2 linked regions of the Arabidopsis thaliana genome follow. The protein of the gene in region 1 interacts with the protein of each later gene in a pairwise test. Each region holds a gene or a part of one and is shown on either strand. Other genes may lie near its edges. The genes, in order: PIN4 and FYPP3.

Region 1 (6,286 bases):
GTTGGATGAGTAATCATACCGTATTTGAATGACCAATCCTAATACGAAAATCAGATGATCAATTCATAACATTAAAAATGTTTGAAAAATGAGATTCACACTACTTTGACATTATAAAGACTACGTTTGATAGTCTCGGGACCATTTTTTCTATAAAGGGTGGTCTTTAGATTCATGTGCGGAAGTTCACAGAATTTGAAGTTAACATAAACTTTTTGAGATTTTTTTCTGCTAGAGATCGTGTATTCTTAAAAAAACGGGACCGTAAACATGCATCGTATGATCATAGGATTAATTAATTAGAGATTAGGATTTTGCTTCTGTCGTAAAACAGTGTTTGTTATCAAGGAATATGCTTAAATTAACTGTAATAAAATAAAATTACTGTCTTTTGAAACTTTTGCTTCTGACTGTTCAGACCTGATTTCTATCATTGACAATCAAGACGATTGACCGACATTCGCAGCGGAATTGGCATCCTATCGCTCCTTAGTTTGTTTTTTCCTTTCTTTCCGTATTAGATTTTTTTCTCGTAGTTTTAACACTCGAACTGATTGTTTAGCTAAAAAAGCTCGGGGTAGAAATAATATTTTCTCCTATGTAAGCATAATGGTTCATGAATGGCTCTCTCTAGCGGAGAATCTCTTCCCGATGAATTAATATTAATGGTATTTGTGGAAAAAATAAATCAGTACGAGGGTGTATATATATAGTATAGGACTATTTCAATCCAACTCATAAGCTAGTTTCAGTATAAACCACTTAACTAGAAACTTCAATTAATAAAAAAAGGTGCATATTACATATCTGCTTAGCCAAAATCTACACATAAATTAACAAAAACAGAAAATGAAAAAATAAAGGTAAGGAAGAGAGATTTTTTCTTCTTGGCGTCTAATGAAGACAAGATCCTTAATCCATTCAAGTCTTGTTCACTAAATCCTAAGTACTTTTGTTGTGTTCCACAAATATTGGAACCAAAAACCAAAGGCATATCTTCTTCTTCACCTTCCACTCTTTCCCACGAAAAATAAAGGCTTTGCTTATTTCCTCGTTACCGAGAAATAAATAGCCCAATCTCCGAGGCTCTCTCAAAAGCCAGTTGATACTGAAGGGACCAATTCAAAGGCCAAGAAGAATATAGTAGACCAGAGTTATAGGTAAGGCTATTAACATTCCAAATATGACCCTGCATCCATATTTTTCACCATCATTCACACATTTGTTAATATATTGTAAGTTTGTAACAAAAATAAAAATGTGGCTGTAACATAAAATAAGTTTGGAACTTACCCAGTGCTTAGAATCGTGGGATGCACATTGTACTCTTTTGCAAACACAAACGGAACTATTCCTTGAGGCAACGCAGCCTAATAATTCATGCATTCATCAACATCATCATCGTGATCATGTAATATTTATAATAGACCTAGCTATATCATGTAACGTTATAAATTTGTATACCTGAACGATGGCTATACGGAGAAGGTCGCCGTGTAAGCCAATGGCAATCCCAGCAACAGCCATGATGGCCGGACCGGTTATAAATCTGACCGCCATGGCAAACGTGGCGACAGAGTTCCCACAAGCAATGATTTTGGGTTGAAGTGCCATGAATAAACCTTAAAATTACACCAAAAATAAGCAATTCATTAACTAAAAGGATTTGAGAAAATTGACAGCAAAGAGTTAGGTCATCTACTTGGTGAGACCCAAATAAGTAGACAGAGCCAGTGGGGACTCGGCGTGGGGACCGGACACACCAACATGTCTGGGTCAGAGGGTCAGGATTCTCTCTTTGGGTAAGTGCTTTGTACAGTTTATATGACTTTTACCAATTACAAGCTGGACAACTACGACTAATTAAACACACAGACCCACTTTGCATTAAATGAATCTTTTTTAACAGATAAGATGAGAACAAATTTGAACCCAACTTTAAAGATTAGATCATCATCAAAACAAGTCTAGATTTGCATGAAGCAAGGTTAGTGTTTACCTAAGCTGAACATAGCCATTCCAAGACCAGCATCTGAGAGTATGGAGATGGATTGTTGTAATATTTTGGGCATAGCCACATGCCACCTGCTTCCAAAAACAACCCATACTCATTATTAGTTCCCACTACAATTATTCCATGCATAGATGATTATATTATTTCCTTTTCTTATTATAACATTTATCCATAAAATCTGTAAGTAAGAAAATGATTGGACTCACTGACCGGTAAGCAACAAGAGCCCATATGAGACCGATTAGACTGGAGTACGTGTTTGGGTTTCTGATCAGCTTTCTCCACACCATTATCAATATCAGTCGTGTCATCACACTTGTCGGCGGCATATGTGTTCCGTTGTTGCCGCCGCCATCTCCACCAGCCGCCTCTAGCTCCGCCGTGGAATTAGACCCCATTTTATTCAGCCCTGCTGTAGCTTTCTCTATCTCTCTTTCTCCCTCTCCACTATCAAGACCGCCGATATCATCACCACCACCTGAGAAAACCAAAAATCATGAATACATACAAAAATAATAGTATTCGAATAATAATAAAATTAAACCAACAAACCTCTAGCATATTATTTATGTAAACAATTTTCCGCAATTTTAGCTAAATAATATTTGATGACAAAAAAAAAAAAAAAAAAGAACCTCTAGCATTACTCTTTCGAGGTTGATCAGAGACAACCATCCGAATCTCCTTAGCACCTTGTTCAGATTGTTCCGTTGCCACGTTGTCGCCTGCACCTCCGCCAAACACGTCGGAGACCGGAGAAGCGCTTGAGCTCCAAACAAACATGTGAAGCTCCTTAGCGTCATGGCTCGCTTTGCTATCTTTCTCTTGCAGTTGCTGTTGGTTTTCTTTAGGAATTTTATTCGGTTTAGTTGAAACACCCGTACCGGTTGAAAACTCCGGGTTCGGAGCCGGGTACGAACCGGCCGCCGGAACAGAACTGTTAGTGTTATTGTAAAATCCATATTTAACGGCGTTGTTCTCTTCGAAGTTCGAAGGCCGTGGAGTCGGACCACGAGAAGATTGAACGGAGTACAAATCCGCCGGACCAAAATTCGAAAGCCTCCCGCCGGGAAACCCCATAACAGAGTAAAAATCAGAATGGTTAAAGTTAGAACCTCTCGGAGTCGAACTAAGACTATAGATCTCAGCTCCGGTAAGATTCGAAGGCCGTGGAGTCATCATCAGTGACCGTCTCGATGCGTTTGATTTCCTCACGGTAACATGAAGCTTCCCGTCGTTTCCTATCTCAGCATCCGTCTCAAGAAAATCATGACCGTCGAGAGAAACGACGTCGGATTCAACTTTAAACGAAACAATAGACGCACCAGTCTCCGGGAACTGCTCCATAATAAGAAGCTTAGCGCCACGGTACTCGAAGAGGAAGAGAAGGAGAGTGTACCAAATGATACACTGAAGAACAACGACTTGGACCATTAGAGAACCTGCGTAGGTTCCGTACATGGCGATCAACAGAGGGATCCCCATGACAAGAGTGTTTGGGAGAGTGCTGAGAGAGAAGATTGTGATCATCCACTCCAAGCTACCGTTCTTGGTTAGGTTAGCCCATAGAGCAAGTAAGACGAGCATGATGATTTTTTGAAGCGTGTCGGCGGCGACGAAGCGGAAATTCATGGCGTAAGGATCGTTGGTGGAGATGAAGTGGAAGGAGAGGAGAGGGACGGCGAAGATAGCGACGAAGCGGTTGATGCCGGAGCACTGGTCTGGTGAGAATATCTTCCACCACTGTACGGATCCGTAGGCGAGAATCATAGCTACGTAAAGTGGTACCACGGCGGTGAGGACGGTGTACAAGTCGTGCCACGTAATCATTTTTTCCGGTGGGTTTTGGAGTTTAGTGAGAAGACAGTGGCATTTGAGGGGGAATTAGAAGGAAGAAGAGGGGTAGAATGGGAAGAATAATAAAGAAACCGTTAAGAGAGAAAAGTACAGTAATGATTTACAAGGATTCGGTGAAGAGGACTAATTTATAGAGGTTTTTGAGGCAGTGACAGTGTCATCATCATCATCAGCACACGATTACGTTTTTTAAGTTTGATTAATAATTTGATTTAAAATGGCTTTGTGTGTAGTTGAGTGGGGACACGTGGCAAATCGCATGTGGGGGGAGTTTTCTGGAGGGACGTGGACAGTTTTATGGAATAGTCGTGCTTTTTTGCTACTATCTTATTACGAAAAAGTGGTCTTGTTTTTGCACTTTTTGAAAGTTGCAAAAGGAACTTTGGCGAATACTACGAATTACTGTATCTGTGATCGTTTTTCTTGTAAATGTAATTTGAGTTTTGATTCCAAATAGAATCAAACTATTGTCTACGTACTTGGTACAAGAAGACAGCCACATAAAAATTACAAGAAGAACAAATGTCATTAGTGTTAGGTCCAAGCCACTGTTGGACCGTTGAATTAATTACACACATTTATTCCCTTTTCAAAAATTCTCACTTGCTATGACTAGAATAATATTTTGTTTTTTGTTTTTGTTTTGTTAAACTTGTAAATATCATTAAAAATAAAATTTGAGGTATTACAAAAAAAATATTACTTATAGTTACTTATATTACAAAAAGTATTTACAAGCTCACATCTCGTCATTTTCTCACTCTTAAAATTTTACTCTCCCTTATCTCTAAAACTTCAGCCGCCGCCTGCGTTTAGGGTTACCGGTTCCGGTGGCTTTCTCAGCACCGGAACCGAAGTCTTTTGTTTTGCTCTTATTCTATCTTTTTTCTTTAGACACATCTGAGAGATTTTTTTCCAACGGTTGTGAATCTGAATTTTCAGATCTAGATATTTAAAGTCTAAAACTTTTTCTTTTTAGGTTTTTGCTGTTTGTCTTTTGTCTTTTTCAAGAACAGAGTCAGATCTGGCCGATCCATCCAAGGCAGAAGCGTTTCTATCCAAATTTTCGCCTCAGACTTCTGAAATTCCACCTGAAGATCCCGATCTCGTTCTCTCCTTCATGAGGCTCTCACTCCTTTGGGTCTCTGGATGATGGTTTTATCTCATCGCCCATTCGTGTTTAGGTTGAGTTAAGTGAGGCTTCTAGTCTCAGATCTATCAGTTTATCATTGTTGTTTTAGACTTTGTATATTTCGTTTGAACTCTTGGATTTTGGGTCTGGGAAGTACTTGATCAGATGTGATGTAATTTGTTAGATCGGTTTTTTTCCCCTTTGTTTCATTTAAATATGTTTTTAGTTCCTGGAAGGTCCCATGTACTCTCCGGCTTTTAGAAGAGTGTTTCTCTTGTCAGCTCTTGTACTCAGATCTTCTATCAATGAAATCTATATTTCCAGTGAAAAAAAAAATAGTTATAGATAGATGTTGGTCTGAGACTCTCCGACTCATTAGACCATCCTCATCGAATAATTTTTCATAGATGTATTTCATATAAAATAATATTAAAGGTATAGATGTCTTAAATGTTTTAGGAAGATATAATTTTCATTTTAATGACCCTCATATTTTTTATTTGTTTTACTCTTTTATATTTAAAAATAGCCATCTAAAAACACTCATAAAAATAACCAATGTGGATACTCTTAAATCAGTTTGGACATAACCAACAAAAAGGAAAGAATAAAGAAGTAGGTGGTCGCAAAATCACTAGGATTTGATAGATTCAAGCAGAAACTAAAAGGAGCGAGATTTCTGGGAAATATCAGAGAAGCAGACGAGGTCAAGTCCTATAAATCTGATGGAGAGTAATGTATAGAGGCATCAATTGTACACTAGAAAATCCCTAATATTACTTACTCATCTAGCTCTAAGAAGTAAGAACATCTCAGCGAAATCTTTGTAACTTTATTTCGGTATATAAAAGTCCAGTTTGATTCTTAAAATTGTGATCATGTTTGATTCGATGGAGGACTAGTTATGCGATCTTGCATCCACAATAGAGTAATATTGACCAGAAAGAAATTACAAACAAAGTTACAATAGTATGACATGGAAAAATACCAAATCCAAAGGATCATCAACGTTGGAATGTAAAAATTTTGATTTGTGTAACTCATAGTCATAGGATGTGTTCGAGGAGTGAATAATCTCCCATGCTTAATACTAGTATATATCTGGATGCGAAATTCGCAATTTTTTTATTTTTGTAGCGAAATGGTAAAAAGAGATTCAAAACATTCATCCAGCAATCACTTTAATTAATCCGAATGATTGCAAATGAAAATAGATTCTTTATTGAACACATATGTTTACAAAACAAGAATAGTATTTTTTTCTCATAAGCCTTCCGGAAAAA
Region 2 (6,008 bases), on another chromosome or scaffold:
GGCGTCGTTCGGGGATGGAGATGATGATGAACCCATTTTGTCTCTATTACTCTCTTTCGGTTGATGATGATCGCTTCTCCAGCATGGAGGATTAAACCTTTTTATTAGCATTAAAAAAAAAAAAAAAAGACTTAAACAATGACTCTTTTAAAAAAACCATTGACCAGGACCACCAGGTTAATATTTTATGATTTCCCTCTATTAGATGACCAAGCAACATTGATGTTCATCGGCAAACAGAACAAGAACTGAACTCCCCCACTTCTCATAGTGTTTCACTGTTTTGTAATAAAAAGAGTTACTATTAATTTTAAATCATACAAGCATGCAACTCACTGAGCAACTCATAGGAGTGTAGTTATATAGTGAAGATTAATTAACTGAAAATTACAAACTAAAAATTGCAATTCTTTTTACCACATTCATGACTGCATATAATAACTTTTTTTTTTTATTGTAAGGACTACCCCTCTCTCCATTACTTGAGACAACAATCTGTATCATAGATCTGAAAGGCAACACACCAAAAGCCGAATGAAATGATTGAATAGCTCGAGACCGACAGGTATTCATTTATTGTTGCGATACTGTCCCATTTGTAACGATGTTTGATTATTTTAGAATTAATGTCATCTTCACAACAACAACAACAAAAACAGAGGAAACAGTACAAGTGAACAATGAAAAAAATAACATTACAGAAGAAAGATTGGGGGAAAGAAAAGAGAGCAGAGAATCAAAATGACTAAGACTATTACCAAAGTGTTTGACTTGTAACTTTCACAAGGGAAATGTAACCTAAAGGACAAAAATAATGATAGTAAGCGAAACCCATCAGTAGATAATATATATAATCATATATTAACCTTTTCCACATTGAACTGAACATATTGCCAATGGCAGCAATGGCTTCATCATCACAGCAAATATAATAAGTGTGATTCTTCATAGGAAATACGGAACTCCAGTCCTTGGCCCTCTCATTTGATTGTTCTCTTCTGTCTCTGTGAAGAACTTCACTTCCCTTTCCTGGTAATACAAACATTTCAATCGATTTCATCACTAACCCATGCAGGAAGGAGGATCCTAGTAGCACAGACAGCTTGAATCTATGGTCAATGAAAATCCACTACAAATGCAGAAACAGAATCTATGGCTCACACAGATATTCAAACCTCATTGCACATGGCTTACTTGATTTAAATTCTCTAAATTACTTTCTATAATCTTCCTAGATCCATTAATTCAAAGAGGCACATAGCAAATCAACAAGAGTGTACATATTTTGATAGAGTAGAATCTTAAAAGAAATGATTAAAATCACTGAAGTAATAGAATCCCTTCTTGCTGACAGAGAAGATTAGAGTATTCATTTAGGAAAGACTAAGAGAGGCTCACCATGTTGTCATTGAAACTCAATATAGAAGCGACATTCCCACAGCGGTAACAGTAATTAGGTGCAGACCATACCTTCACAAACAAAACAAAATTAACAATCACTAAGCAGAGTTTCAAAACGCCCACTAATAAAAAATATCAATTCATTAGAAGCAGGACACTCACAGTTACAAGGCCTTTATCTTGGAACATGTACTTAAGACCTTCTTGTACAAGTTGGTGCGCGCGGCATACTAGATCCAGCTTGTTGATATGGTTAAACTGCACAAGAAGCCAGAACCAAAGATCAGAGATGTGAAATTAATTTCTTAGTTACAGTATCAATTCAAGCTTTTGAGAAAGTAAACATACCTCAGTGGTAACCCTGGATCCGAAAAGCCAACCAGCTCCACGTGGACTAACCGCCCATGTTTCAATATCTTCAGGATCACTCCACATAAGATCGCAAAAGGGCCCTTCATGAGGAATTTCGCAATTTCGCTCGATCAGTCTTATCTAGAGCCCACAGCAAATCTATGTGAGTGGAGGACCTTAATAACATGCCAAGCTAGAAGCATAATTGACGGGTGAAAGCCACAAGCAATAAAAGCAGAGTTTAACCTGATCAATTGTCCGGACATCCGGGGAAAGGCCACCGTGAACACATAGAACCTAGACAAAGCAAACTATTTTAGTATAACATACAGCTATATGTGTTCTCATCAACAATGCCAAGTTGCTAAGAAATCACTTACTGTGCCATCTATAATAGCTGACAGGGTAAGATAGTCAAAAACATCTGTGCAATATCGCCACGCATTAGCGTTACCATACTTCCTCTGGCATTCGTCATAGAAACCATACACCTAAAAAAGTAAATCAAATGGTTCTGTGTTATAAAGGAGTTCAATGTCGAGAATCCATGTATAATTTTGATCATCTAGTCAGCAGATTCACGAAATGCATATTTGAATTGCACTTTAAGAGGTATGATTGCAGACTAAGTCTTAGTAAAGGTTTGCCAGGAATGCATTCAAATACAAAATTATCACCACACTTTCTTCCTTAAAAACCTATGTATCAACTAGAACACTAAGGATTACACACATGCTAAAAAGGAGACTGGTACTATATGAAGCACCTTCTGAAATTAGCTTTCCAATACTTGATTCACATAAAATGCATCTTAGCTAACATCGATGTCTACATCTGACATGACATTGCCACATGTAGTACAAAATCAGAACTTTCAAAACCCTGCTGTAACAACGAGAAGATAATCAACATTGCTTACCTCCTAGGAACAGCGTGAAAAGCAGAATAATAGATATAAGTGGAACAGAATAACACATACCTGCGTTAGCTGCCTACTTTCATGATTTCCGCGCAAAAGTGTAATATTGGCTGGATATCTACATATTAGAATACAAAGAACAGAGAAACATGAGATGCTAAAGAAACAATATCATTCTCGTTTGGACTAATTTTGAATGCAATACGTTACTGGGACTATTTCTTCCAAAGAAAGATAAATAATTATCAAGATTAATTGCTTAATAAACAATAAGTTCGTATTAAGCACGAACAAAAAAAAACTTAAAGGCAAAGATTCAATGATAACAGGAATCTCCAGAACATTTATGAGCACCTTACCTAGCTTTAAGAAGTAAAAGAATAGTGAAGACTTCAAGGCTGTTGTAACCTCTATCCACGAAGTCCCCCTGCGAATTTCCCACACCAGATTATGATTGTATTCATAATTTCATATCAATATGTCATACAAGACACCACAAAAGAAAACTCGGTACCATAAAAATGTAATTGGTGTCGGGAACATGACCTCCGGTCTGAAAAAGCTTCATAAGATCATGAAACTGGCCATGGATATCACCACATACGGTGACTGGACTGTTTACAGGCTGTACGTTTGACTCCTCAATCAGAATCTCTTTCACCTGTATAACATTATGATAAACATCTTCTGGTTAACACCATGATTCATCTTCGCAAATCTATAAATCAATCGCTGAGAAAGGAGACCATAAAATGGTATCTAAACTACAAAATTGATGCCTCCATAGTTGAAAAGAAAGAAAAATCCTAAAATCACTACAGACCAGATCGAAGTCACGTTCCACTAAGGTATATAAATACAGATCAAACCAAGCAGAGAAGAGCACAAGAAGCTTAATCGACCAAGAGAAGAAATCAAGTAAGAAGAAGAAGAAGAAGAAGGCGTACGTATTCGCAGAGAAGCTGAAGCTCGTCTTCGGAGAGATGCTGACCATCTTTAACCTTGGAAATCCATTGATCCAAATCCATAACTCTCTCTCTATATATATATACCTCTGACTGGTAAAATCTTCAACACTTTCGTTCGATTTCAATAGCGACTTTTCTGGGAAAAAAGAGGAATCGAATCGAATCGAGATAGATCTACCAGAGAATCTTCGACTTCGTTAGGGTTACGTAAGAGGAGGAGATGAAAGAGAGAATGAGAGGTTCGAGTTTCACAAAATGACACATACGGCAAAAAGAAAAAAAGATCCCAGATCGATCTCTGCCGCTTCCAACGCAAATCAAACTTTTGCGTTTGTCAAAACGCAATCGTTGACGAACCAGCGTCTCATAAGAAATACGATTGTGATCCCTCATACTTCTAAAAATTATGAGAATTGCCAAAAACTTTATGATTGGGTTCTTAACAACCCTCTTTGAACAAATAACAAAAGACAACCATAAGATCCAAATCTCCACTACAAAGGACAAGGACGTCACTTTCTTGAATCTTCATTCTCCTAAATGTACAATATCCAACAATTTACAAAGGAATAATGAATTTGAATCTATAAACCAATCCAAACCAAAAAGAATCATCAATCAGTAACTATTTTTCTCTTTCTTGTATAAGAGTTAAAAGGACCCCAAAAATGGTTAGCAACAACAACACTTGTGGAAGTCGCTATGAAGAATGGTGGCAGCAAGAAAGGACAAAGTTGTTCATGAAATGGTTGAGCTCAGCTGTATACAGTTCTGGGTTACTCCGGAAATGGTCTACATGAGGTGAAGATATGAAGTTGCAAGCACGGACCTCATGTCCTGCTTTCCTCTGCTCTACAATGAATGATTCAACTTGTTCCACCGGTATAACTCTGTCTGCAGAGCTGTAAATGTATAACTGTGGACAACTTGGTTGTGCTGTTGATAATGTGTCAAGAACATCGGCAAGTCTCCTGTTAAAAATATGATTGCACGCATTTGTTAGTGTGAAATCATAGGATATGGGTGACAAGAATGAGTGAAGAGATATGATTGCCCGCATTTGTTAGTGTGAAATCATAGGATTTGGGTAAAAGAATGAGTGACGAAACGCGGAGTTTTATTGTATGTTACCTGTTTACTTTGGGAAGATTTAGAATCACCGCAAAGAACTTTTCAAGAACCAAAAGCAAAGCTGTTTCTGTTGCAGCGGGTTTAGGCTGGGAGATGTTTATACCGTTTGACTCATATGATGAGCTCGCAGATCCTTTAGTGGCTACACTGCTTTTCTTCAAGAACGCAGCTGAGAAACCTGATGCCCATACCTGTTTTAACAAAGCCAAATTAGTATCCAGAAAGTTCAAGCGAATAGTGCAGAAATCTATAAAAAGAATAGCACCCATCAGCGTCTAGCAAATCAGGTATCCAAGCCTATGATTTAGCACAAGCCAAATGACCATATAAACATGGCTATGAATGCAAGAATCATCGCTTACCGTAGGATCTGCAGCAGCAACAGGAGCTGAGTCCACTATGCAACCTTTAACTCTTCCCATCAATGATGAATCTTGCTTCTGAAACTTTTCCAAAATGGCTCCATATCTGCATAGATGAGAAACTCGCTTAGTAAAATGTAAAACCGCCATGTAACTATGTAAGCACATGAAAAAAACAGAGATATTAAACTCACGTTAACCACCCGGTGTTGCTGAAGGTGTGAAAGACGAGATTTTTCTTTTGCTCTTCATCCAACCAATCAGCCAAGTGATTAACCAGCGACTCGATGTTCTTCTCTGCTTTCCCTCCAACTTGATAACTCATAATCTCATTCATCGGAAGAGTAAATGTAATGACATGGTAACCCTTTGAAGTGTACCAATCAGCATATTTCTTCAGATGCTTCTGCTTTGATCCAAGCCATCCAAGCAAAACCACAACAGTTCTATTCTTTTCAGACACACAACTCGAAGAACCAGACATATCGACTGCACTAGGCTCAGGTAAATGCCATCTGTAGGAAATATCAGGAACCACAAGTGAGGCACCGATTGTGAATGCAACCGGTTTCGATGCTTTAGCCAACTCTGCAGACTGATAAACACTACGAAGAGCGGACAGAGAAGTAACAGAAGTAGCGAGACTACAGCTAGGATTAGAAGCTAGGAGATCAACATTTGGTACAGGAACACAAATCCTCGACACAAAAGATAAATCTGCAAGCTTGGAGGCCGAGACTTGAGAAACCCACAAGGACCTTTCTTCCTGAACTAAACCAGACACTGAAGGAGCAATCTGCTCTGATTCAGAACCTCGAACTAGTGATCTAAGAGATGAGAACCTCTCAGAGACATCTGCAGACACAGAAGCTGTAA

Evidence for each region.
Region 2: the proteins of PIN4 (region 1) and FYPP3 interact in a protein complementation assay, tested with the Arabidopsis thaliana proteins (one study listed by BioGRID).

The regions. Positions count from the first base shown.
Region 1 is NC_003071.7:179,356-185,641, forward strand, and holds PIN4 (Auxin efflux carrier family protein), read right to left. Parts: upstream 4,410-6,286; 5' UTR 3,845-4,409; coding exon 2,650-3,844; intron 2,493-2,649; coding exon 2,225-2,492; intron 2,086-2,224; coding exon 2,000-2,085; coding exon of another isoform or gene 1,989-1,999; exon of another isoform or gene 1,623-1,988; coding exon 1,465-1,622; intron 1,371-1,464; coding exon 1,294-1,370; intron 1,190-1,293; coding exon 1,123-1,189; 3' UTR 678-1,122; downstream 1-677. UniProt on the Arabidopsis thaliana protein: Acts as a component of the auxin efflux carrier. Plays a role in generating a sink for auxin into columella cells. Maintains the endogenous auxin gradient, which is essential for correct root patterning.
Region 2 is NC_003074.8:6,959,699-6,965,706, reverse strand, and holds FYPP3 (flower-specific, phytochrome-associated protein phosphatase 3), read right to left. Parts: upstream 3,972-6,008; 5' UTR 3,700-3,971; coding exon 3,619-3,699; intron 3,333-3,618; coding exon 3,186-3,332; intron 3,099-3,185; coding exon 3,031-3,098; intron 2,790-3,030; coding exon 2,732-2,789; intron 2,244-2,731; coding exon 2,133-2,243; intron 2,050-2,132; coding exon 1,999-2,049; intron 1,894-1,998; coding exon 1,750-1,893; intron 1,660-1,749; coding exon 1,564-1,659; intron 1,471-1,563; coding exon 1,399-1,470; intron 1,030-1,398; coding exon 946-1,029; 3' UTR 501-945; downstream 1-500. Other genes in the region: AT3G19990 (E3 ubiquitin-protein ligase), read right to left, coding at 1-111; AT3G19970 (alpha/beta-Hydrolases superfamily protein), read right to left, coding at 4,340-4,610, 4,771-4,961, 5,133-5,238, 5,327-6,008. UniProt on the Arabidopsis thaliana protein: Catalytic subunit of protein phosphatase 6 (PP6). Dephosphorylates phosphorylated phytochromes, with a preference toward Pfr forms.